7 linked regions of the Rattus norvegicus genome follow. The main gene of each other region encodes a partner of the protein of the gene in region 3 in a complex. Links are inferred from orthologs where the notes say so. Each region holds a gene or a part of one and is shown on either strand. Other genes may lie near its edges. The genes, in order: Dpf3, Pbrm1, Smarcb1, Dpf1, Arid2, Actb and Phf10.

What was found.
Region 1: Smarcb1 (region 3) and Dpf3 share a complex: the UniProt entries of both Homo sapiens proteins name them as parts of the BAF complex. The link is inferred for Rattus norvegicus from reciprocal best matches to the Homo sapiens genes SMARCB1 and DPF3.
Region 2: Smarcb1 (region 3) and Pbrm1 share a complex: the UniProt entries of both Homo sapiens proteins name them as parts of the SWI/SNF-B (PBAF) chromatin remodeling complex. The link is inferred for Rattus norvegicus from reciprocal best matches to the Homo sapiens genes SMARCB1 and PBRM1.
Region 4: Smarcb1 (region 3) and Dpf1 share a complex: the UniProt entries of both Homo sapiens proteins name them as parts of the neuron-specific chromatin remodeling complex. The link is inferred for Rattus norvegicus from reciprocal best matches to the Homo sapiens genes SMARCB1 and DPF1.
Region 5: Smarcb1 (region 3) and Arid2 share a complex: the UniProt entries of both Homo sapiens proteins name them as parts of the SWI/SNF-B (PBAF) chromatin remodeling complex. The link is inferred for Rattus norvegicus from reciprocal best matches to the Homo sapiens genes SMARCB1 and ARID2.
Region 6: Smarcb1 (region 3) and Actb share a complex: the UniProt entries of both Homo sapiens proteins name them as parts of the BAF complex. The link is inferred for Rattus norvegicus from reciprocal best matches to the Homo sapiens genes SMARCB1 and ACTB.
Region 7: Smarcb1 (region 3) and Phf10 share a complex: the UniProt entries of both Homo sapiens proteins name them as parts of the neural progenitors-specific chromatin remodeling complex. The link is inferred for Rattus norvegicus from reciprocal best matches to the Homo sapiens genes SMARCB1 and PHF10.

What each region holds. Positions count from the first base shown.
Region 1 is NC_086024.1:108,734,626-108,738,125, forward strand, and holds part of Dpf3 (zinc finger protein DPF3), read right to left. Parts: intron 1,711-3,500; coding exon 1,550-1,710; intron 1-1,549. UniProt on the Homo sapiens protein: Belongs to the neuron-specific chromatin remodeling complex (nBAF complex).
Region 2 is NC_086034.1:6,285,933-6,289,432, forward strand, and holds part of Pbrm1 (polybromo 1), read left to right. Parts: coding exon 1-112; intron 113-1,388; coding exon 1,389-1,546; intron 1,547-2,099; coding exon 2,100-2,363; intron 2,364-3,500. UniProt on the Homo sapiens protein: Involved in transcriptional activation and repression of select genes by chromatin remodeling (alteration of DNA-nucleosome topology). Required for the stability of the SWI/SNF chromatin remodeling complex SWI/SNF-B (PBAF).
Region 3 is NC_086038.1:12,743,948-12,747,447, forward strand, and holds part of Smarcb1 (SWI/SNF-related matrix-associated actin-dependent regulator of chromatin subfamily B member 1), read left to right. Parts: intron 1-1,138; coding exon 1,139-1,250; coding exon of another isoform or gene 1,251-1,277; intron 1,278-2,840; coding exon 2,841-2,970; intron 2,971-3,500.
Region 4 is NC_086019.1:93,740,342-93,743,841, reverse strand, and holds the end of Dpf1 (zinc finger protein neuro-d4), read right to left. Parts: intron 2,454-3,500; coding exon 2,341-2,453; intron 1,859-2,340; coding exon of another isoform or gene 1,829-1,858; coding exon 1,747-1,828; intron 1,598-1,746; coding exon 1,527-1,597; 3' UTR 417-1,526; downstream 1-416. UniProt on the Homo sapiens protein: May have an important role in developing neurons by participating in regulation of cell survival, possibly as a neurospecific transcription factor. Belongs to the neuron-specific chromatin remodeling complex (nBAF complex).
Region 5 is NC_086025.1:129,325,005-129,329,170, reverse strand, and holds the start of Arid2 (AT-rich interactive domain-containing protein 2), read right to left. Parts: upstream 2,801-4,166; 5' UTR 2,542-2,800; coding exon 2,450-2,541; intron 2,344-2,449; coding exon 2,250-2,343; intron 1,184-2,249; coding exon 1,086-1,183; intron 1-1,085. UniProt on the Homo sapiens protein: Involved in transcriptional activation and repression of select genes by chromatin remodeling (alteration of DNA-nucleosome topology). Required for the stability of the SWI/SNF chromatin remodeling complex SWI/SNF-B (PBAF).
Region 6 is NC_086030.1:16,775,481-16,779,463, forward strand, and holds the start of Actb (actin, cytoplasmic 1), read left to right. Parts: upstream 1-1,183; 5' UTR 1,184-1,255; intron 1,256-2,195; 5' UTR 2,196-2,201; coding exon 2,202-2,324; intron 2,325-2,411; coding exon 2,412-2,651; intron 2,652-3,117; coding exon 3,118-3,556; intron 3,557-3,646; coding exon 3,647-3,828; intron 3,829-3,952; coding exon 3,953-3,983. UniProt on the Homo sapiens protein: Actin is a highly conserved protein that polymerizes to produce filaments that form cross-linked networks in the cytoplasm of cells.
Region 7 is NC_086019.1:64,628,316-64,631,758, forward strand, and holds part of Phf10 (PHD finger protein 10), read right to left. Parts: intron 2,731-3,443; coding exon 2,575-2,730; intron 1-2,574. UniProt on the Homo sapiens protein: Involved in transcription activity regulation by chromatin remodeling. Belongs to the neural progenitors-specific chromatin remodeling complex (npBAF complex) and is required for the proliferation of neural progenitors.

The sequences.
Region 1 (3,500 bases), on a different chromosome or scaffold from region 3:
CTGTATCCCAGGCTAGCCTCAAACTTGCAATCCTCTTGTCCCAGCCTCCTAACGACTGTAATTACAGGCATGTCCCGGGGCACCCAATGGTTTTGACATATTAAGTCCAGAGTATTTATATGTGAAATGATGCATTGTCCCAGATCTACTTCAAAATCATCCAGAGTCGGGAGAAAGGTGACGACGAGACAGTTGCCTGCTGTGGAGCTTGGCTGTGAGGAATCTGAGTTTTCTTTGCCATTATCTGAGTTTTACATAAATATAAAACTCTTCAAAACAACAGAAAAGAGTTGTTTATTATACTCATATAGAGGCAGGAGTGGCAGCATAGGCCTACAGATCCCAGCCCAAGAGGCAGAGGTGAGAGGATCAGGAGGAGTTCAAGGTCATCACTGGCTCCATATAAAGTTTGAGATCAGCCTGGGGTAAATGTGAGACCCTACCAAAACTAAAGGAGAAGTTTTACAAAGATGGCTTGGTCAGCAATGTGCTTACTATGGAAGCGTAGACCCTAGTTCAATCCCTAGAGCCCATGTAAATGGACACACTTTTAATCCCAGTGCTGGGGAGGGAAAAACGGGCAGATCCCTGGGGCTCGCTGGTCAGACAGCCAAGCTGAATCAGCAAGCACCCGGTAAAAGTGAAAACCCTGTCTCAAAAAACAAGATGAAGAACAATGAATTAAGGGAGACACTTGCATGCACATGTATAACACACACACACACACAGAAACAAGTACATACACATACATGTGTATGCATACCCACGTGCATACACACACATACATGCATCCCATGCACACATGGAAACAGGTATATACACGTATATGTACATGCATGCACATGTGTGCACATACACACACACACACACAGACTCATGCACCCCATGCCTACATGGAAACAGGTATAAACACATACATATACACACACAGAGATTCATGCATGTACCCCATGCAGACATGGGAAGAGGTCTAAACACATACATGTACACACACACACAAATTTAAACATAAATAAATATGACCACAGAAAAGTGCGTCCCTAGAGCTAGCTGTCTCCCTAACCTACACCATTGGGTTTTTATTCTATTCTTAGAAGCCTAGAAGATTAGATCACAGTCATGACAACAATAATATCCAGCATTTTAGAGCATATAATATGTTGAGTTGTTTATAGATATTTTCATTTAATCCTGATAAACTCCATGTAGTAAATACTAAGATTATCCGCACTTCACAGATGATGAGCCTCAGGGACAGAGTTCTGATGACAAAACTAAGCCTCACCCACAGCTGAACACATTTACAGATTCTAGCCAACACCCAAGGATGGGAAAAGAAGGCTGCGTTCATTGGACTTCTTTGAGATAAATACCTCGCATCGTCTTTGTCTGGTCTCTTGGATAAACTGTATGCATAGCTAAATTTCTCCACTGTGAGTATAGCTTTTCTAACTCCCAACCCAGCCCAGCTGTGTGGACTCCCAAACACAAGAGTACTCCGTCCTCCAAGCTGGAGCCACTGTGCATGCAGGGAGTTGCAATGACTTACCTGGGCCTCGGTGCCTCTTCTCCATCCAGATGTAGCAGTTGTTCTGAGCCACCCCAGTCTGCGAGTCCAGGAAGGGGAGCCTCACGCTCCGCTCTGCACACAGCCTCGAGTTGTAGCTCCGACAGTGCTCAATGGCTTCCTTGTAGAACTGGTCCCCAAGCCTACAGGAGACAAGAGAGCAACAGAGTGAAACCAAAGGAAGTAGAAACACAACCAGAGGGAAGAGGTCCCCTACCCTCTCTCCAGGAAGAAACTGCATTTCTGGCAATCATGCCAATGAACACCAAGAGCCCCATCAAGGGACAAAATACAAATTGTCACCAAATCTCTACCAGATTCCATTTCCTGTCCCAAATCTACCAGGTCACTTAGAGATCCTTTTAAAGTGGGCCCCAAAGAACAAACTGCCAGTAAGGGTGACCCGGCCTTGTCCTAAGATGCTAAGATGTCCCTGAGGTGGCACATTCTGTAGCAATATTCTGCTTCAGACTTAGAGAGAATATCCAGCTGCCAGACTCCCCTCTTTAAGCATTCCCCCACACTTTGTTCTCATAAGTTGAAAAGTACAACCAGATTCCCATTACGACAGAGAATTTAGAATAAAGCATTTATGATAAAGACTACATGAGCAGAGGAGATGCCCCATGGAGATACAGCCATCGTTGTGAGAAGTGTGTAAGGAAGGACACGTGTAGATCTTCTAGGCCCACAGTTTAAGATAAATAGCTTTCTCTGGCCAAAAAACAAGCAAAAGTGGTATTTAAAATAAGGTGTGACACCCCCCCACACCGGAAATTGCTGAGGGATGGAAAGGGAAGTCACTGTGTCTTTAATTGTATGCCTACCAACGTGAGTCCACTAGGCCTCAGTGCAGAGCCCCACACCCATGGTCACGCAGCCGTGGTTAAATACAGTAGGTCACAAATCAAAGAGACATGATTATGAGACAGGAACTTGTATATGGAAGGTTGATGTGGGTAAGCAAGCTATAAGACAGGTGGTAGTGGGTAAGAGAAATTAGAGAATGTGTTCTGTGTATAAAACTGTCAACAAATAACAGTGAGGCCAGAAAGAAGGCACAGATATTAAGGGCACTCACTGCTCTTATGGAGGACCTGAGTTTGGTTCCTTGCATCTAGGTCAGGTGCTCAAACCACCTGTAACTCCAGCTCCAAGGGACTGAATGTCCTCTTCTGGTCTCTACAGGCAAGCACATGTATGTGGCATAAACACACAGATACACACACACACACACACACACACACACACACACACACACATTTTAACTAAAAAATTAATATAATGATGATGACGATGACGACGACGATAAAACAAGTCAATGCCCAAAGTTGAAGCCAAAAATAAAAGTCTATCCTGATTTGCAGGCTGGTGATTTGATTTAAACAGTTAATTTTATGTCTGTGAATCTTTGGTATTCTTGGACAAGTGATGGTGTTTCTCTCTAAACATAATGTCAAGGCAAAAAAAAAAAAAAACCCACAAAACTTTAACAAGGATATAATTGAGCAGATAAAACAATGAGAGAAAATACCCAACATATAAAACACAGGGCCATCCGAGACAAAAGCTAATAAAGAAACCCAAATACAACCCAAGCCCGGGCTAGTGAACTTGAGCCTTGTGGATGGAAAGGCATGGAGGCAGGAAGGGGAGGGACATGGAGGCAGGAAGGGGAGGGTCATGGACAGGGAGGCAGGAAGGGGAGGGTCATGGACAGGGAAGCGAGGAAGGGGAGGGACACGGAGGCAGGAAAGGGGAGGAGCCACAGAGATTTGTGAGGGCAAATTGGATAACTAAATCATTTGAAGCAACATTAAAATATCTTCCCCAACAGAAATCCATTTCCTCTGGCCAGTCCTTTCTGCCCAGAGGTTGTACAGCTACCAAAACACACCCCTACCTTGGGACCAAGTGTCCAAACTCAGGGACC
Region 2 (3,500 bases), on a different chromosome or scaffold from region 3:
AGCTTTAAGAATAGTATGTATCACGTCGGAGATTATGTCTATGTTGAACCTGCAGAGGCCAATCTACAACCACATATAGTCTGTATTGAGAGACTATGGGAAGATTCAGCTGGTAAGTTTGATTTGCACTGAAGGACAGGTGCTAGAAAGATGGCTCAGTGGCTAAGAGAACGTGCCGCTCTTGCACGTTCTCTTGCCAAGGACCTGGCTGCAGTTCTCAGTCCCTACGTCATGGCTCACGACCACCCCTAACTCTAGTTCCAGGCGCTCTGATGCCCTCACATGGCACACACATGATACACATACGTGCAGGCGTTTTTTGTTTTTTAAAGAATTACTTATTTTATATGAGTACACTGTCACATAGGATCCCATTACAGATGGCTGTGAGCCACCGTGTGGTTGCTGGGAATTGAACTCAGGACCTCTGGAAGAGCAGTCAGTGCTCTTAACCACTGAGCCATCTCTCCAGCCCCACATGTACATTTGTTTAAATTCTTTTTCCTTGATCATCAAGAAGAAAATTTTTTAACTCCTATTTAAGCCTTTCAACAATAATTACATCAATAAATTTAATGTTCAATGTGTCAATAAATATAATTAACCACCTAACCATATGCAAACGTGGGATCTTGCAGTTTTGGGCACTGTCACGATTGAGTCAGAAATGTAACTTCTTAATGGGTGGGAAGAGTCACTTATGCAGTAATTTATTCTGTAATTTACTTAGAGCCAAGCTCTGTGTAGGATGGCAGAGATCAGAAGAGCAAGACTCGTGTTCTTTTCTAGCAGATTTTCTCCAGTGAATGTCACAAATGTGTAACTGAGCTTAGAATTTATTGCCAGAAGCCTTCCTTTAGAAATGCCTGTAAGCTGGTTTGGCGGCATATGCCTGCCATCCCAAAACTCAAGACGGTGAGGCAGGAGAATGAGCTTGAGGCCAGTCTAGGCTACAGTGAACCTGTCTCAACAGAAATCTAAAAGAAATGTAAGAAGAAAGTTGCCTCTGAGGCGTTAAGAATGAAGCCAACAAGAAGTACGAGTGTAATGCAGGCAGTCTAGTTCTTTAAGCTGCCAGTCAGGTGAATGCTTTTGGATTCTGTCACCTTTTTGCTAAAAATGTCCTTCCCTTTCCTTGCATGCTCAGTGAAGCACAGAGCAGCCCTTCTCACCTCCTCCTCTGTTGCATGTCTCTGAAGGGTGAAATGAGGTTTTTTAGGCCTCTTTGTGCTTCTTTGTTTTAAAATATTATTTCCTCTAAAATAATTCTATTAAGAAATTTTCATCTAAAACCAGCCTTGGCATAATGGCTTGATAAAATACTTCCTAGTTTTGCAAAGAATATGTGGTTTCTGTTAATAATTTTTTTTCCTTTCTTTGTTTTTGAGGTGAAAAATGGCTATACGGCTGTTGGTTCTATCGGCCAAATGAAACATTCCATTTGGCTACACGAAAATTTCTAGAAAAAGAAGTTTTTAAGAGTGACTATTACAATAAAGTCCCTGTTAGTAAAATTCTAGGCAAATGTGTGGTCATGTTTGTCAAGGTAAGAAACTCATTGATTCAACGATATCATTCCCTGGAAATACAATTTAAAAATATAAAAATCTGTATTTACAATATTAGAAAGTACTTCAAACTCTTTATTCTGTGTCTATATATAAGAAATTAACATGAATATACTTAGAGACCATTTGCTGTGTTCAGTTTATCTATATACAAATAGTATTAACATTTTTATGTTACTGGGCTAATTTCCAAGGATGATATTTTCTGAAAGGTAATCATTACCAAATTCCAGTCTTGCTTCTAGATAATAAAATGCATTATCTGTCATATATGCATATGAGACCTGTACAGAGCTTTAAGACATTTTAACTATATGAAAGTAATATATTTTCAAAGGGCAGTTGACTAAGTAAATAAAACTTATAATTAAAGGGAACATAGCCAAGGAGATACCTACTTATCTGGCCATTTACTTTTTATTGTCGGGAAGTTTTTATAGTTCAATGTTAGATTGATTAACATTTGGGTTTTTTTATTTTTGAGTTAATTTTCAAAAAATTTACTTATTTGTATTATTCTTCCCATCCCAGGAATACTTTAAATTATGTCCAGAAACCTTCCGCGATGAGGATGTTTTTGTCTGTGAATCAAGGTATTCTGCCAAAACCAAGTCTTTTAAGAAGATTAAACTGTGGACCATGCCCATCAGTTCAGTTAGGTTCGTCCCTCGGGACGTGCCCTTGCCTGTGGTCCGAGTGGCCTCTGTATTTGCAAATGCAGACAAAGGGGATGAGGAGAAGAGTACAGACAACTCAGATGACAATCGGGCTGAAGACAGCTTTAACTTGGAAAAGGTACATGAGTAGTAGCCACCTACACAAGAATTTTAACCTTAAAATATCTATTCCAGAAAGTGAATTGATGTATTCAAATTCAAAACAAAAACAAACAAACAAAAAAGAAAAACAAGATTGAGGGTATAAAACCTTGGTCAAAGTGGAAGAACATAAGGGAAAAGAAAAAGAAGAAAAAAGTTAATTTAAAGTAGTATTTAAAAGTAAACTGAGGCTGGAGAGATGGCTCAGCAGTTAAGAGCACCTGACTGCTCTTCCAGAGGTCATGAGTTCAATTCCCAGCAACCACATGGTGGCTCACAACCATCTGTAAAGAGATCCGATGCCCTCTTCTGGTGTGTCTGAAGACAGCTACAGTGTACTTATATATAATAAATGAATAAATCTTAAAAAGTAAACTGAGGATGGAGGATAGAGAAATGTCTTAGCAGCACTGGCTGCTCTTCCAGAGGCCCCAGATTTGATCCCAGCACCCACATGGAGCTTACCTCTAATTCTAATTCCAAGGCATCTGACTTTTGCAGGCACCAGGCAGACAGTTGGTGCACATACATACATGCAGGCAAAATACTCATAAACATAACGTAAATCTAGGAGATCAGTGAGGTGGTCCAGTGAGGACCGAGTAAGTAAATTCTTTTTAACTGTTCATGTGGTTGCTATAATTAAAAACTGCATGGTGGCACATGCCTTTAATCCAGGCATCAGAGGCAGCTAGATCTGAGCTTAGGGCCAGCCTGGTCTACACTGCAAGTTCTAGGACAGCCAGGACTACCCAGAGAAACTCTGTCCCAAAAAAAAAATGCTGTTTAAACTATTTGATAGTGTGGAAACAAAAACCCTTCTTAGTTCATTGTATAAAGCCCAAGCAAACTATATTTATATTCCACACACTACAGAAGTCAACAGAAGACTGCCCTGATCTCAAGGATGAATATCAATACAAAAATCCAGGAAATGGTTTGGTCTGGTTTGGTCTGGTTTGGTTTGGTTTGGTTTGGTTTTTCAAGACAGTTTATCTGTGTAGCCTTGGCTGTCTGGACCTTACTGTATAGACCAGGCTGGCCTTGAACTCACAGAGATCTGCCTGCCTCTACCTCCTGAGTGCTGGGATCAAAAAGGTAGCTGAGGAAATGG
Region 3 (3,500 bases):
CCAGGCCAGCCAGGGCTATGCAGTGAGACTCTAGGGAAAAAGATCGACAATATCGCTAACTTTTTTCTAAAAGTGAATGGAAACCATCCTTTTACCTTTGGGTGATAGTGACCCACAAACCAAACAGCAGCCAGGAGTCTTTGCTGTTCTGCGTATAGACTCTTGGTCTCAGCACTCTAGCTGTGGGTTACATAAATCTCTTCTGGAAGAAAAGTGCAGAAACTACCTTCACTTCATAAATGTACACTATGCTAGGTAGATACGATGAAAAGAATAATAGAACTGTTCCTTTCTGAAGCAGAATCCAGACTTGAGGGCCTGGTGTGGCCGTGCACACCTTTAATCCCAGGACTCAGTGGGCAGAGGCAGGCCAGCCCATCCTGAGTTCAAGGCCAGCCTTGTCTACATAGTGAGTTCCAGGCCAGCCAGGGCTGCATAGTGAGAATCTCTTAGGGGAAAAGTCAGGGTCGTTAAGCACTCGATGGGTGAACAGAGAGGCCTAGACTCACTGCCAGAGTGAACACCTCACACCCGTCTATTGGTTGTCCCCACAGTGTGACTCTGAAGATAGCATTTCTGAAGTCAGTGAGACCGTAGAGCATCTTAAAAACAGTCATAGGCCTCCGTCTAATCAGGGGCCGTGCTTACTGTATTGCTACAAACAGACTGAGGCTGTTACTGGGGAAGTAGTGATTTATAGGCTAGGCTAGGGATTACTAATACAGTACTTTTTTTAGACTCTAGAAAATTCTTTGGCATCTCTGTTTTGAGTTTTATTACTAAACAAAGCAACATAGGCAACAGGACAAATTATCTCACATCTGTCTAAAATTAAAAACTTTTTGGTGTTTATTGCCTTGTAAAAATATCAAAGTCGCTTCTTAAGATGAAAGAAGGTCACAGGAGTCTTAGATTTCAGAAAAGTGCCAACATCTCTAGTCAGGTCAAAATCATAAGCTTCTTACTAAGCTCTGGGATCAGGAGACACAGATGCCAGCCAGATGTGCACTGCTGTTGAACCCTTGATGTCAGCAGAATGTGTTTGCTGACTCCTGAAAGCCCGGCGTCTGGAGGCATTGTCTCGGCATGGTGGTAGGTAGCCCGACCCTCATAATGAGCCTTCTTGCTTTACCCATAGGTGGGAAACTACCTGCGTATGTTCCGAGGTTCTCTGTACAAGAGATACCCCTCACTCTGGCGGCGACTAGCCACTGTGGAAGAAAGGAAGAAAATAGTGGCATCGTCACATGGTAAAAAAACAAAACCTAACACTAAGGGTGCGTCTTCACGAGGGTTTGTAAACCTGTTTCAAAACCACTCGCTTATGTCACGGAGATAAAACGTTTTCACTCCAGTGTCTTCATTGCAGCCTGACCTCAGTTCGGTAGGGAGCATCCCGGGGCGGGCCACCCTGCCAGTGCACACGGGCCTCAGGAGAGAGTGGCTCATACTCCCCTGTTGTGTGTTCCTGGCTGGGCCAGCGGGTCTGTGAGGGGCTGGGCCAGGGCAGTAGCAGGTGCTGTGAAGACATGTTGGTCTCAAAACGTTTTAGGAATGCTGAGATTTGCTACCATTTGCTGAGTGTGTCGCTGTAGTCATCCTTGCGGCCGTAGACGGTGGCCCCAGCCCTCTCTCCTCTGGGGCTGTCACCGCTTCCCTCCCACAGCACATCTGTCTGTACTACTTCATGTTGACAACCGGCGTGCTGAGCTCACGTGCATGTACCCATTCCGTGGCCCGCCCTGTGCCTGGGGCTTGCCAGGTGAGCCATCTGATGCCAGCAAACCTAGGGCAAGCTCTGGGCTGTGGCAGCTCTTCAGCATGACACATGCTCTTCGTAGTCTTGGCGCCTCTAGATTATGGGCTTGGGTGTGGCTGCAGCATGCCATCTGGCAGGTGGCAAAACTGCTCTCCACTCAGCAGAGGCACCCTGTAGAGAGCTGCCCTGGGCCTGGGTGCATGTGTGCGTGCATGCAAGCATGCGTGCTCCCCAGCACTCTGTCGTCTGTCTCGTCTGTAGGTGCTGATGTAGTTTTGTCTGTTGTGGTAAATTGGGGTTCTTTTACTGCAGGAGCCAGAGCTGCTTTTGTTCACTACTAAAACAGACCCACTGTTGCCTAAAACAGTTTCGTTTGTATCCCTTGGGCCACAAGTGGAGGACGGTCACTAGCATGGTGCCTGCCTAGCTCTGCCTGCCCTTCCTTGAGTTCCTATGAAGTCGCACTGGTCTTTCTGCTGTGCTCCTTCCTTCCTTCCCTCCCTGTGGTTGAGAGATTCCTCCTGTGAAGCTGAGCAGGTCCTGCAGATAACTGGCAGCTCTTGACAAAGGCCCCTAGAAGAGCTGGACTCACGTTGGATGAAGTCTGTCTTGGTTTCCAGACAGCACATCTGCACTGGCTCAGGCATGGTAACTCCTGCTTGAGGCGAACACTTCTTTCCAACTCTCTGGGCTCTTGTTTTAAAAGAAAAGTCGTCATCTTTCATCTGTCTCGTCCTTGCTTTGTGTTTAGATTGTGGCAGTGTCAGACCTCTTCCCACTGGGGTGTTGTCCGGCAGCTTCCTGGCAGCCCCTGAGCTGCAGCTGCCCCGGACATCTCTGCCTCCGAGCCAATGCTCTTAGGAGGTGAATTCCTCAAATCCATCCTGCCGAGGCTTCCTCCTCTCTAATGTCTAGGCCAAGCCTCAGGCTGCTCGCCCTTTTGGAAGAGGCTGGCACTCAGCAGTAGAGTTTGACACCTCGCTTCCCGCCTCCTGCATGTGAGGACCTCATGTGCTGTATCGATGGTTGGCAGCCATCACACTGCAGCAGTGTGACCGCACTGGGGCTTCTCTGCTTACAGACCATGGATACACCACCCTGGCCACCAGCGTGACGCTACTGAAAGCCTCAGAGGTGGAAGAGATTCTGGACGGCAATGACGAGAAGTACAAGGCTGTGTCCATCAGCACAGAGCCCCCAACCTACCTCAGGTACGTCTTCTAATCCTAGTGTGCTCCGGGGACATGCGCGGGCAGGCGGGCGTTCCCACCCTCAAGAGCAGGCTAAAGTGAGCTGAACTGAGCTGAGCTGAACTGCCCTTCAACCCTTTCCTCGCTGAGTTCATAATTGCCTGACCTGGGCTTCTAAGTTTCTTCTGTATCTTTGGAATTCTGAAGAAACGGGCCAAGACTTGGGTTCTGAAATGTAATATTCCAAAATTGGGATTCATTTATCAAAAAAAACCAATGGTGACTTAGATAAATTCCCAAAAGAAACAATAGATTTAAATGTATGTATGTAGGTATGTATGTATATAGTGTATAGTGTATGAATGTGTATGTATGTATGTATGTATGTAGTGTATAGTGTATGAATGTGTATGTATGTAGTGTATAGTATATGAATGTGTATGTATGTATGTATGTAGTGTATAGTGTATGAATGTGTATGTATGTATGGATATGTGTATATGTGGAACTTTAAAAGAACTTTTTTGAGAAGCATCTCATGTAGCCCAGGC
Region 4 (3,500 bases), on a different chromosome or scaffold from region 3:
TGTTTTGAGACGTCCTCCTGTCCTCCACTTTTAGCCACACCCAGGACAGGGAATCCCAAGTGACAGCCAACCCGGCTGAGGTGCAATCTCCGAACCCTAGCCTGGGAGGGGGCTGCCTTCTGGTCTCTCCAGCCCTCCCTTCCCCCCAAGTCTTCACTCCCACCTCCCTCTTTGAGCTGCCTCCCGCTGCAGCTGCAGCAGCCCGTTGCTATGGCAACCACAGCTGGCTGGGTGGGAGCCCCTCCACCCCATCCCCCTCTTCTCTCCAGCAAGACAGGGAGGAGCTGGGACAAAGCCAGAGGGAGGCATGGTGTAGGGGCAAAGAGGTGGGGGCCAGCCACAGTGGCTTCTACCCCAGTGAGGCCCCTTGACTTCCCATGTTGGTGACACCCCAAGAGAGGTTAGAGATGGAAGCAGTTGTGGGCAGAGGGGTCCGGCCCAGTTTAATACACAGAACAAGTTAATTCACAGCAGAGGCAGGCAATAAAGGAGACTTGGTGGCAAGGGGGGTACTCCTGGGTTGGGGGGCAGACTCCCCCAGACCCTCCACCTCCCCCCACTTGCAGTCTCAATTTCCCTTTTTTAAAACCCGAACAACAAACACACACAACCACGAGAAACGACCACACCTCCTTGCCACCCCCAAAATGGCTAGCGATGGGGGGAAGGAGGCAGCCCAGCCTGGCTGGGTAGGGAAGGAAAGGGTTGAGAAGGGAGAAAGAAAGAAAAAAAAACAAAAACAAAAACAAAAAACAAAAAACAACTGAGTCCATTGCAATCTGTGCTTCTTCTCATTGCAGCGGGCTGGCTGCCTGCCTGCCTGCCTCACCCCACCGGCCTCCCCCAGCTGCAAGCCCCAGGTCTGGCAGGCACCGGGTGGGCGCAGGGCGGGGCTCTCAAAGGAGGGGCAGGAAGAGTTCAAAACCATGGTTCACATCATGCAGTATCCACGGTGGGTACCGGGAGGGGGCAGTGTGTGGGCACCATGCCCACCTGGCCTGGCTGTGAGGAAGGTGTGGTACCCACCTCAGATGGGAGTTGAGACAATTGCAACTCCAGAAATGGGGTGGGGAGGGGCCATTCAGGAAACTGGTAAAGTCAGGTCCCAGCAGACACTCAGTGGCCCCCCACCCAGCCAGGCTTAGAGGAATCTTTGTATATATTAATTTCTTTTTTTTTTTCCTTTTTTTTTTTTCACGTTTTGTCTTTTTCTTTAGAAAAAGGCTTTTTCCGTGCCACTGGCTGGCATCCACTACCCCTCTATGCCCGCCCAGAGGCGGGGTATGGCTTTGAGGGGAGCAGAAGCCTGGTGCCCACTTGTCAAGGAATGAAGATGGGGGACAGGAGGGACCCTGCTGGACCCACCCTCCCTCAGGGTAACATTCCACTTGCAGAGGGAGACCGCCTTGGCCCCTCTCTGGGCTTCACCCTATCCCTTCCACTGGGGACACCAGGCGGGAAAAGTCAGGAGCTCCAAGAGGCCGAGGATAGCACCACCCAAAGGTCCTGGAGAAGCAGAGCCAGGTCTAAGTCAGGGTGATGTAAGCGGAGGCCTTTTCTTTCAAGTGCCGGAGACAGAGGTGGCAACTCCAGCTCCCTGCGGGGGAAGCCAGTGAGACAAAATTAGACTCAAGCCGATGAAGAGCGCCCCCCCCACCTGTCCCCACCCAGAGCACATGGTCTCTGCCACCAAGAAGACAATGTTCCAACCCACCCACCCCGTGTCTCACCCATCTCTTCCCTCACCTTCCGGGGGCTCCGCCATGGGAGGGCTCAGGCAGTACATGTGGTAACCCCGATCGCAGTCGTCACAGAACAGCAGCTGGTCCTGGGGGGTGAGACCCGCCCAGCTGGCACCCTGGGGGCACGGGCACCAGAAACCGGGGTGGGGGGCTGGGGCAGGGGCTGGGTCCCAGGGGCCCTTATGAGAAAACTAACTGGCCTTGTCGCGGCTCACACAGTGTGGTCTGGATTCTGTAGCTACAGAACGCTGAACGATGTTCAACTAGCCAGAGACCAACTTGGGACCAATATATAGGTTCGAATGCTGGCCCTACGACCTTCTGAGCTTGGCGACCTCAGGCGTCATTCTCCCTCTCTGAGCTCAGTATCGTCTCTGTGTAGTGGGAACCAGAGCACCAGCCTCAAGGGAGGCTGGGAGGCATCAAGGGGAAGAATATGACAAAGGAACACTAGGGACGATGGTGACCGTAATGCATGCTAATGCTGGTCACCCAGGGGTTATGAACAAGGAAGGCTTTAGGCTTCACGAGCAAAGGTGGCAGAGCCAGGCCGGAAGGGAAGCTGGGGATGTGCCCGGGAGGTGGGGCGGGCACTCACGTCATTCTCCGAGGTGCCACACAGGCTGCAGGACTTGCATTCGATACACTGCCAGCGGTAGGTCCGCACGGCTGCGGTCATGTTCACCGTGAACTGTAAACACGAGGGATGTCCTGGGGGTTGAGGGGCAGGGAGGCCGTTAGCGGAGTCGTTGTACCTCTGGTGGCTACTGACACGTGGGGAGGTAATGGCTCTATCCTCAGCCCCGACCCAGAGGTCAAGGTGAGCTCTGCAGTGGGACCCTAACCCTGAGACCAACATCCGGAAGCTCGACTGTCGGGCAAGCAGCCGTGTGTTGGCCACCACAGTCTCCTACTCAGCCACCATGACAACCACACTCTGCTCCCCAGAACACCATGGCAACCACATTCCATTACCCACAGTGCTGTGGCAACCACGTTCTACCACCCACAACACCGCGGCCACCACAGTCTGTTAAGTATTGCGCTAGGCAGCCACATTCCAATACCCACAGCAGAGCGTCCAGCCCTCCTGTTAACCACAGCAACGTGGCAGCCGACCTCTGCCAACCAGGATGCTATGGCAACTGAGTTCCACAACAGGGTCCCCACACCTTGCTTCTCTGAAAACCAAAGGCCATCCCGCACCAGGCACCAGCAAACGAACTTCCTCTGACAACACTCGCGGTGTGAATCGGCTCAGCCATTCTCCCACGGCGCGAAGGCACCTGTAGCCACTGCCCACAGCACCCAACGGTTACAACTACATCTCTCAGAGCCAGACGCCAGTAGCCACAGCACTCTGCCCACAGCACATCACAGCCACAGTCCATCATCCACGCTGCTCAAGTGACCAGCCTTACTACCCAGGAGGCCTCCATGGAAAACCACACTGTATTAACCACAGTTCTACAGCACACAATCCTGCTATTCACAGCACCCAGGTGGTGCAATTGCTCCCACACCTCCGTCCCCTACCCACAATGCCTCCCTAGCTTCTCTCTACTCTCCTTGCCGGGAAAGCACAAAGCCAGGGCACCTTGTACTGTTGGTTCCCACTGTGCCAGCAAGCCTGCTCAGTCTGTCACAAACCCCTGCAGCAGAGGCAGCCCCTAGGACAGGCTAGGGACAGCCCCTTACTCGCCTGCCTCCCACTCCCTAAATTCAGATTCTGAGATGTCCTCCTCCCGCCTCCGATCT
Region 5 (4,166 bases), on a different chromosome or scaffold from region 3:
AACTGCCAAGTTCTGTGAACTCTTCAGCAAGAAGTCTGAAGTCAATCTAAGGCAGCCAATAGGAAGTCCACCTGTGCAATTACCCTGTTTCCTATTTCAGAATCCTAAGCGCTATACAGAGTGACTAGTGCATTTAAAGCAATATGAAACTAAAATTATGCAGAAGCTACATTGCAAATATAAAACAGGCTATCTTGTAATGTCACCATTACCAACATTCATTAGAAATATTAAGATCATTATTTTCATTTTAAATAATTAAGGTTACTGTGGTAATCAAAGAAAAATAAAAGTTTCCTTCAAAATAAAGTACAGCATGAAAGTATAGGAGAAAATCTAAGAAGAAACCACTAAGTCACAAAATACATTATCTAACTGGATCGTATAAACAAGAAATTGACTTTCTGGAGTAAGCAGTCAAAATATAAGGAAATGAAAGAAAATTCCAACTATAATACCTGGTCTCAAACCATCCCCGTATTCCTAAAGATACTGGATAATTTTAAGTCGCTCAAAAGTTCAATAAATAACAAAGGAGTTCAAAAAGTTAATTCTGATCAGCCAAGGTATCTACATTGAATTATTTATGAAAAAATATCCCATTAAACGCAGAGTAACAGTTCCATGCAGTAAGTTTTCTTTAAACAAACAAATAAACAAACAAAAAATAAAATAAAATAAAAACCCATGAAATTGTAGGCGGTTAAGGGGTTTCCAAATAAAGAAGGGGGGAAAAAATCTTCCCACAGGTTACAAAGTTTCCTTAAGTATCCCAAGTCTTTCACTAAGCACCTTCTTTTCTGGCCCTCAGTGGCTACCCAGCAGTCAATAACAATGTCACAAAAGAATGTTTACAAGATAGGATATGGATTGTCACCTGTAATGGCTTTGTATGAAAAATATAAACGACTGTATTTTTAACCTGAGGAAAACTTCAGACTCCTACCATCTCAGTTTATTGACAGCAAATGCTTCTCAGAGTGAAATTAACAAGGGATTGGAAACTGTCTAGAGCTTAGATTTTGTTGTTTAATTGCCCCGAAGTCCCTCGTTTGCAAATACTGGGGAAAGACGCCACTACTCACCGCAAGTAATACTGTTTTAAAGCAAAGGCAGCGTTAGAACAACTTCTGGGAAAGTTGAACTCTTCAACAATTTCTCCCCACTGATTCTTCTCAGAAACCTGTTAAAAACACAGGCACACTTGTCTGAAAGTGCCCAATCCAAGAAAAACCTACCCTAACTTGGAAGCTAAATGACCCTTCTGCAGAGATCTGTGGGTACCTAAGGATCAGTGGGTGTCTGGGGTCGAGCCACAAGAGTTACCAAGCCAGGGCTGCTTGAATCACTGTGTTTTCACCAGAAAACCCTGTATTTAGCAGCACTTGTTTTGTTTTTGGGGGGGTTGGTGGGTTTGTTTTGTTTTTGAAGCCCGGACAATAACCAATCGCAAGTCCCTCTGTCGCCCCCTTTTAAACCTCAACGCGGTCCGTTTACACTAAAGAAAAAAAAAGTTCAAAAGGATCAATACTGCTCCGGACAGCGACGTCCGCGGGCTCTGGGGGGGCCGGGGCCGGGGCCGACTCCGATCCCTCTCCCAGATCTATCCATCTCCATAGGCCCTTCTTTGAGGCCTACAGCTTCTGCCTAGCCTTGAAGCCTAAGATGGCTATTTGCAGACAGGTCCTGCTTTCTTTTGTTAGCTGTAGAAAGCCAGGGCGAGCGGGCCGAGGCTGTGCCCCCGGCCGCCGGGATCATTTCGCAGCCGATTATCGATGTTAAACCTGCCCGCGCTAATTTTGAGTTGCACGAAAACTGCTCAGAGTCTGTGTGTCTCTGTGTCTCCGCCTGTGCTAGAGCGGCAGCGGCGGCGGCGGCGGCGGCGGCGCTGACTCGCGGGCGGGCGCGGGGCGGGCGGGCGCGGGGCTCGGCGGGCGGGCGAGCACTCTGCTCGCCCGCGCTCCCCGCCGCGCCGCTCAGACCCCGCGGGGCCGGCCGGACACCGGGCAGGGCGCTCCCCGCCGCCGGGCCGCACCGCCCGCCCAGCCCCGCGCCCGCCGCGCGCACGCGAGCCACCAGGCCGAAAACAGCCCCGCCGCCGGCCGCCTCCGTGCCACCGGCTGCGAGCGCCGAGAACGCCGTGTGCCCGGCCGACCGCCCCCCCGGCCCCGGGCGCCGGCTCCCGGGCCGGAGCAGACTTTTCCGAGCAGGCCAGCGAGAGGGAAATACAAATTAAAACTTCCACTCACCTTCGCGAATCCGCCTAAAGTAGTGACTCTGGTGTAGAGCCCGTGAAGATCCAGCTCCTTCCCACCCACCGCAGGGATCTTCTTAAACGGCGACCTGCGGGCGACAGAAAGCCCCGCACTTGTCACCGGGACCCCGCGCCCGCCGCGGGCCCCGTTCGCCCCGGCTCGCCCCGGTGCTGCCCCCCCGGTCCTGCTCTCACCCTCTGCTGTGGTGGAACTGCCGCAGCTCGTCCAGGAAAGCCAGTCCCTTCCTCCGCTCGTCCGGAGGCGCCTTCCCCGTCGAGTTTGCCATTATTTTGCCAAAGGAGGTCTCCCGAAAACCCAGATCGCGGTTCAAACGCGGCCCCCGCTCCCCGCGCTCCCTACCAGCGCCCGGAGCCCATTCCTCGGCCGGCGGTGGCGGGGCTCAGTCATGGGCCGGCGGTGGCGGCGGCGGCGGCGGCGGCGGCGGCGGCGGCGCAGGGAGGGAGGAGGGAGGGGGAGGAGGCGAGGAGGAGGGGAAGGAGGGAGCGGGAGGCCAGGGGGAGCGCAGGGCCGGAGGGAGGGGAATTTCTAAAAAAGTTTAAAGAAACGGGAGCGAAACTAGAGGGGCAGGCGACGGGCGGCCGGGCGCGGAGCCGCGGGGCGAACGCGGCCCCCACCCTGCCTCGCCGCCTCCCGCGGCCCGGCTCTGGCCGCCTCTCAGCGCCGCCGGCCCTGGCGGCTCGGCCCGGGGACGCGATTCAACATGGTGCTGCGGCCGGGGGCGCACGAGCCGGCCGGGGGCCGGGCGAGCGGAGGCGAGGGGCCCGGGCGGCCGCAGGCCTGGGAGTTTCGGCGGCGGCGGCGGCGGCGGCGCGGCGGGGCCGGGGCAGGCGGGGCCGCGTGGGGAGGGGGAGGTCTGTGTGGTGGCTTGTGGAGAGCGGGGTGACAGCGTGGATCCGGGCCGCGGCTCCGCGGGGCCCTCGCACACATTCACGCGCGGCGGCGGCGGCGGCGGCCCGGGAGTCCCCGGGCACAGGCTCCGGCGGCAGCCGAGCCGCTGCGCGCCGCCCGCCCGCCGGCCTGCCTGCCCGCCAGCCTTGCTTCTCAGCCGCCGCCACGGCCGGGCCGCCAGCGCCGCACAGCGCCCCCCGAGGGCCGGCCGCGGCACTGCGCCTGGCTCCACACGGTCGCGGCGGCTCCTCGCGGGGAACAATAGACTCGGCTCGCCCGGCTTAGGGTTCATCTGCAATGTGCAGCACATTTCACACGCACACAAAGCGGGCGGAAAGGGGGGCGGCGCGGGGAAACGGCCACTACCGGTTGTTCCGGGGTTAGGGGTGGAGGCGATGTTCGCGTCCCCCGGCGGACGCCCGCCGGGCCTCCCGCCACACGGAGGCTCGCACGGCGGCGCAGCCCGGGCGGTCGCGGAGAAGTCCGCTCGCCCCCTCTGGAGACGTTTCTAGCAGGAGGCGTCGGCCTCTGGGCTTCATGCTTGAAGGAAGCCCGATGAGCACATGGTCCATGATGGGGCCGTAAACTCACTTTGACAAACTGTGGGATCAAATAGGCTGGGAACTGCCTGCCCTACTTTAGTGGAGATAGAGTAAGGCTTTTAAGTCGTCCTCCCGTTTTTGGTCGGTTTGGTGCACCCAACAGGAGGTATGCAAACGGTCATCGCGCCTGTTGGGGAAATAACCTCCCAACTTTGAGAATAACATTGCTTATGGAGGGTTTTTTTTTTTTTTTGCACTCGTATCTGAAAGAGGGCAAAATGTTTTCACCCCTTCAGTTTTCTGTGTTGATTCTTTTTTTTTAAATGTGTAAATAGGGAAATAAAAATTTTTATTCTAGAATAAAAGCACCACTTAAATTTGTATCGACCGGGTGTTGGAACCCTCCCCGGTTTACAAAGGTTGAGCATCATGCTTCCCCTTTGGTGTATTAGGATTCCCA
Region 6 (3,983 bases), on a different chromosome or scaffold from region 3:
AGCTTTCTGTCACTCTCTCCCAGGAGTTGTGCGTCCTTCTAAGCTAAGCTGAGGGACCCGACCCTCAACTCTGATCCCCTGCTGTAGCTATCAGCCAAATGGCTAGCTTCCTGAGCAGAACTCTCCTACTTAGGTGAGGAGAGCAGGGGGTTCTTCTCTCTGGAGGATTTGGGGCTCTGGTGACCACCAGCACTTCCCTGAGTAGTTTGTCACTCCCAGAGTCCCCGTGGCCAGCAGATGAACAGTTCAGTGTACAGTTCAGCTGTGGCTGCACATAATACATAGAGGCTAGATGGTGGGCTCCAGCCCAACGATGCCTGGCAGTCACCCAGAGCCACTAGCTAACGGCCCAGGCTTAGTCTTGCCTGGGTGTGATCAGGCAGCCCTCCAAAAGTGCCGGACTCCATGAGAAGTTTTGCTTGTTCGATTGAGCACAGTTCCTTTCTAGGTCCGGGGCAGAGGATATCTGGAGGCATCTTCCTGCAACAAACACCTCCAGTCACTGGACCACCGGGGCTTGCCCTATCCTTGGGACTCTGGCCTTGAGTGGTCAAGATCCCTGAAGACCTTCCCAACCACAGCTCTGCTTCCAAGTTGTACCCCAACACACCTAGCAAATTAGAACTGCAGCAGAAGGCCCCCAGATCTGGCTTTCCTGACTATTGCTAGCAAGGGGGAGTGACTCTCTGCCCATTCAATCCAGACCCCGTGTGTCCCTCAAACAAAAGGCCACTCAAATAGGGTCCGGGCCTTCAAGCTGACCCTCGCCCACTTAGGTGATCATTATTCCCGTGACATCCACACCCAGAGGGTCCTGGGGTGGGTGGGTGACCCCCAGAATACAGGCCTAGTAACCGAGTCACTGAATGGGATAGTGTCCACAAGGGCGGGGGCTATTCTTGTCCATCTGGGCCTACGGAACCAGCACCCATCGCCAAACTCTTCATCCTCTTCCTCAATCTCGCTTTCTCTCTCGCTCGCTTTTTTTTCTTCTTTTTTTTTTTTTTTTTTTTTTTTTGCAAAAGGAGGGGAGAGGGGGTAAAAAAATGCTGCACTGTGCGGCGAGGCCGGTGAGTGAGCGACGCGGAGCCAATCAGCGCCCGCCGTTCCGAAAGTTGCCTTTTATGGCTCGAGTGGCCGCTGTGGCGTCCTATAAAACCCGGCGGCGCAACGCGCAGCCACTGTCGAGTCCGCGTCCACCCGCGAGTACAACCTTCTTGCAGCTCCTCCGTCGCCGGTCCACACCCGCCACCAGGTAAGCAGGGACGTCGGGCCCAGCGGGCCCCAACTTTACCTTGGCCACTACCTCGCTGCAGGATCGTGAGGAACACTCAGAAGGGACACCGTAGAGGGGTGGAGCGTGGTACCGGGCCGCGGAGCGGACACTGGCAAAGCTTAACTTTCCGCCTAGGGTGTAGAGTGTTTGCAGTCGTATTCCCGCGGTGTAGACACTCGTGGGCACGCTCCTGCTTGGTGCGCGGGGCTTGGGGACACACTAGAGTCGCGGTGTGGGCATTTGGAGAGCCGGTGCGGCTTGCGGGTGTTAAGCCGCATCTGTCCACCTTGAGGGGACACAGTATTGGGAGTCAGGCGTTACAATCACGCTTTGATGGCCTATGGGTCTTTGTCCAAACCGGTTTTGCCCATTCGGCTTGGCGGGCGCGGCGGGGCCGGCTCGGCCGGGTGGGGGCTGGGATGCCATTGCGCGTGCGCGCTCTATCACTGGGCATTGGGGCGCGTGCGCGCTGGGGAGGGAACTCTTCCTCTCCCCCTCTTCCGAGTTAAGAGTTGCGCGTGCGTATTGAGACTAGGAGCGCGGCCGCCCCGGGTTGGGCGAGGGCGGGGCCGTTGCCCGGAAGGGGCGGGGTCGTAGCGGCTAGGGCGCCTGCTCGCGCTTCCTGCTGGGTGTGGTCGCCTCCCGCGCGCGCACTAGCCGCCCGTCGCCTCAGTGTAGGCGGGGCCTGTGCCCGTTTGGGGAGGGGGCGGAGGCCTGGCTTCCTGCCGTGGGTCCGCCTCCGGGCCAGCGTTTGCCTTTTATGGTAATAATGCGGCTGTCCTGCGCTTCCTTTGTCCCCTGAGCTTGGGCGCGCGCCCCCTGGCGGCTCGAGGCCGCGGCTTGCCGGAAGTGGGCAGGGCGGCAGCGGCTGCTCTTGGCGGCTCCGCGGTGACCATAGCCCTCTTTTGTGCCTTGATAGTTCGCCATGGATGACGATATCGCTGCGCTCGTCGTCGACAACGGCTCCGGCATGTGCAAGGCCGGCTTCGCGGGCGACGATGCTCCCCGGGCCGTCTTCCCCTCCATCGTGGGCCGCCCTAGGCACCAGGTAAGTGACCCTTTACTTTGGGAGTGGCAGCCCTAGGGTTTTCTTGGGGGTCGATGCCAGTGCTGAGAACGTTGTTCTCCTCCGCAGGGTGTGATGGTGGGTATGGGTCAGAAGGACTCCTACGTGGGCGACGAGGCCCAGAGCAAGAGAGGCATCCTGACCCTGAAGTACCCCATTGAACACGGCATTGTCACCAACTGGGACGATATGGAGAAGATTTGGCACCACACTTTCTACAATGAGCTGCGTGTGGCCCCTGAGGAGCACCCTGTGCTGCTCACCGAGGCCCCTCTGAACCCTAAGGCCAACCGTGAAAAGATGACCCAGGTCAGTATCCTGGGTGACCCCTCCCCTCTATTGGGCCAACTTCTCAGCCACGCCCTTTCTCAATTGTCTTTCTTCTGCCATTCTCCCATAGGACTCTCTTCTATGAGCTGAGTCTCCCTTGGAACTTTGCAGTTTCTGCTCTTTCCCAGATGAGGTCTTTTTTTTCTCTCGATCGCCTTTCTGACTAGGTGTTTTAAACCCCTACAGTGCTGTGGGTGTAGGTACTAACAATGGCTCGTGTGACAAAGCTAATGAGGCTGGTGATAAATGGCCTTGGAGTGTGTATTCAGTAGATGCACAGTAGGTCTAAATGGAGCCCCTGTCCTGATACTCCCAGCACACTTAACTTAGCTGTGTTCTTGCCCTCTTTGCATGTCTCACTCAAATCTATCCTTACAGTCTCACCTGCCCTGAGTGTTTCTTGTGGCTTTAGGAGCTTGACAATACTGTATTCCTTTCTCTACAGATCATGTTTGAGACCTTCAACACCCCAGCCATGTACGTAGCCATCCAGGCTGTGTTGTCCCTGTATGCCTCTGGTCGTACCACTGGCATTGTGATGGACTCCGGAGACGGGGTCACCCACACTGTGCCCATCTATGAGGGTTACGCGCTCCCTCATGCCATCCTGCGTCTGGACCTGGCTGGCCGGGACCTGACAGACTACCTCATGAAGATCCTGACCGAGCGTGGCTACAGCTTCACCACCACAGCTGAGAGGGAAATCGTGCGTGACATTAAAGAGAAGCTGTGCTATGTTGCCCTAGACTTCGAGCAAGAGATGGCCACTGCCGCATCCTCTTCCTCCCTGGAGAAGAGCTATGAGCTGCCTGACGGTCAGGTCATCACTATCGGCAATGAGCGGTTCCGATGCCCCGAGGCTCTCTTCCAGCCTTCCTTCCTGGGTAAGTTGTAGTCTCATCCCTTCTCCATCTAAAGGTGACCAATGCTGGAGGCCACACTGTAAGTCTGATCTCTCTTGCTTTTCCTTTCAGGTATGGAATCCTGTGGCATCCATGAAACTACATTCAATTCCATCATGAAGTGTGACGTTGACATCCGTAAAGACCTCTATGCCAACACAGTGCTGTCTGGTGGCACCACCATGTACCCAGGCATTGCTGACAGGATGCAGAAGGAGATTACTGCCCTGGCTCCTAGCACCATGAAGATCAAGGTAAGCAGCCTTAGCCTGGACCCATAGTGGGGTGTGGTCAGCCCTGTAGTTGTAGCCAACTCTCTTGGCTTAAGGAACAACCCAGCATCCAGAATGCTCACAATCACTGTCTTGCTTTCTTCAGATCATTGCTCCTCCTGAGCGCAAGTACTCTG
Region 7 (3,443 bases), on a different chromosome or scaffold from region 3:
GCTATTCCTGCTGCACCCTAAGAACATGCTTTAACTGTGTCCTGGACATCAGTAAAAAAAGATGCTAGGAAATTCACTTCTAAGATTGAGTCTTAACTGCTATAATATGCAGCAGAACTTTCAATAACCTGTCCTAATGTAAAAGATAAACTTAGAGTTTAAGTTAGACACTAGCAGAGTAAGTCCTCTAATTAATCTTTTACTAAAGCCAGGGAAGAAACCACACAATATTAAATTTTGAAAAGAGAATTCCTCATAGGAGACTCTTTACAAAGCAACTCAAAAGGAATAAAACACAAATTAATTCACATTCTAGAGCAATTCAAGTTCTACAATCACTAAAGTACACATAATGCCTATAATAAAAGGAGACACTAAGAAACTTCTGGGTTTACCTTTAAAATTATACATAATGTTCTGATAAATCACTTCAATTTTTTTTCTTACCCAATAATCTTCATCTTGTTGAAAAATATAGGAGGATGGGAGAGGGGAAGAGGGATGGAAAGAAAGAAAGGTGATAGATGAGAGGGCAGCAGTGGAAGCGGGTGAGAGACCACTGTGGCATTTTCTACAGAGATGCTACAGTTCAACACACAAAAGCACACTGTTCGTGCAGCACCCAGGCTCTTACAGGCCACAGCCTGCATCCAGGGCCTCACAGACAGACTGAAGACCAGCACTGAAGGAGGGAGGAGGACCGCCCTGTGCCTCACTAAGACCCTCTGATCACCTTTGCACACTGCCACAGCCTTTTAGTTTCCTTCAGCATCTCAAATAAAAGGCTTGTGTATGCTTTTCTTGTTGAAAAAATAGCAAATAAGTTGAAACTTCATGGTAGCACTAACATAGTATAGATTTTAATTATGTATGTGTAGGCCTGAGCCTAACAGTTACACTTTAATTTCAGGTTAATGTAACCTAAGCAATACCGTCCTACAAGTTGAGGGCAAGCACCAGTCATCCTATTCTATCACATACATTATGTTTAACTCCCATATTCTAAAGTGTGTGTCAGCTTGAAGTACCCTAATATTTAGGCACATCTTGGCTCATTAATACTTTCCATACAGAGGTTAACTTTCAATAATTGTGTTCACATTAATATATAATATCTATATATTGGCTGTTCCTATCTTTGAAATCCCTGAAACATTTTTAGTTACTAAAAATGTTTACAGATTAGAAAATGTTTATTTTGCATATGAGGCTCCCTTGAGTACTATTAACTAAGATTAATCTATATGATTTACTCACTAGATCAGTGATAATATGGATAGTTCTTCAGTTCCAGCCTGTATTATATGTCTGTTTCAATATTCTCTGTTTATAATGCATGATAAAACAGGCTCCTTGTTTAAACTTCCTCAGCCCGACAACTGTCACTCCCACTGGCACCTCTAAGACAGTGACACATACTGGCTCCTGCCGGCTGCCTCTAAAATGTAATCTTTGGAGTATTTTTGGTTTCAGTTATTAAGCAGTGACTGAAATCTTTAGTTTAAAAAGCATAAATAAGCTAGCTATACATGTAGAAAAAAAAAATCACACAGCAGCCTACTGAAGCTGTCCTCAGAATGAGTCCTTGCTGAGTGAGCCATCAATTGTGTGGCTATGCCACAAAAGCATGTTCTAAGCGGACACTGTCAGAATGTGTTCCAGTAGGGCGGACAGACAGTGACTCAGCTCACTTCACTTTTCTTTCTCTGCAATGTGCCGCTGTCGCAATGCTACCACACAGGTGTTTAATAACTCGCTCGGCGCGACTCTTACTCACAGCCTTCCTTTAGTACACCTCCATATAGTGACCAGATGGATATTCTAAGGCAGCCAAGACCAGGAGTGTATGCTGTAGCATCACTGTCCATGTCACAAAGCTGAAGACTACGTCCATTCCTTCTATGACCCTCCTACATCTCCTTGCACCAATACAGCTGCTCACCTCTCATCTAACTTCTCAAGGGGAGAGGCAGACAGAAATGTTAAAAATAATTAGAGTTTCTTATAATCTATGGCCTTACTCCAAGAATGATCAGATCCACAAACTAGGTTTTAGTTCTTGTAACAGAATGGTATATCTGTCAAAGGTTATACAAAAACAATGATGTAATTAACAGCTCTTCCTATTTTCTGTCCAAAACTTGGCAGAATTTGGCAATTGGATCCAACAATCCTTAGAATAAGCCTGATATTGTCAATGAAAGGCACTACAAAAATACCACCTCGTGTGGTTGTAAATCCAGCCCTGCTTCACCAACTGTTCGGATATTCAGAATGCTAGACAATTATGCCCTGCACTCAAAAAAAGGTTCTGCCTTGAAAGAATGTTTTAAAAACTCCTATTTGTCTGGTTATTACTTAAAGGGATGAAGTAATAAATTGTTTATATACAGGAAATAGAAGCTATACCATGACCAAAAGTGACAAGAAAGCCACCAGAGAAAGAAAGCAGTGGACAGGTGCACAGGACAGGATGGCGGAGCGCAGCAAGCTCAGCTCCTCAGGCTCAGAGTTAACGGTATGAGGGAGAAGCTGGCCAGGAAAGAGGCCAAGTCAGGGGCTTTTTTCTTCTACCTTGTACCCAGGAACTGATTTGGACAGTACAGAACGTTTGGAGCCGTCTTTTCTTGGCGTGGCCATTTTGTCTTTTGATTTCTGTCTTCCCTGGAAGGTGTCCTCCTGGCTGTCAGGGGGGCTGTCTCCTTCAGACACATTGCCTGAGGAGCTGTCCTGTAGCAAACAAGTAAAAGCAAAGGTTCCTTGGGATCAGGACCCAGTTGAGTCTCAATTTTTTAAATGACAGAAAACATTTTTTAAGCTGAAAGTTTTTTTCCAATTAAAAATATAAAGATGATTTTAAGAATTTCATTTCTAAATAGAGTAAGAAAAGCCATGTTAAATTATTTACCCATCTAATAATTATTTCTATTAGCAAGTATCCTAGTCAACTACTACACTTTCTGATGTAAGTCATCAAAAACAGAATTACCAACTCAACTATGATTACATTACAGCTCCAATATTTTCATACCACACGGATCCATAGTTTTATATTTATAGAAATACTTATTTTTCCTGAGTGATGGAAGTTATTGCAAAAGTCCTTCAAATACATAACCATGTTCAAACATAAAAGATCCAAAGCCATATCCCTAGCTATCCACGGCAGTATGACATACTATATTTGTTCAAGGAACAAGACCCCAGTATCTGACTATTTAATTCATTTTATAATCCAAGGCTTGCTGACAACTTTATATTCAAATAAATTATAAAAAGTGAATGAAAAAATTAAGTTATCCATATCCACCTGATAAGCATCCTGAAATGACTGGGCCCATGAGCATGTCTCCTTCTGGTTTCTCTGTGTGTTTATGTTCTGCAGAGCCCAGGCTCTCTCATACATACATACCACATATCCTCCTAATGCAGTTTCATTCTGG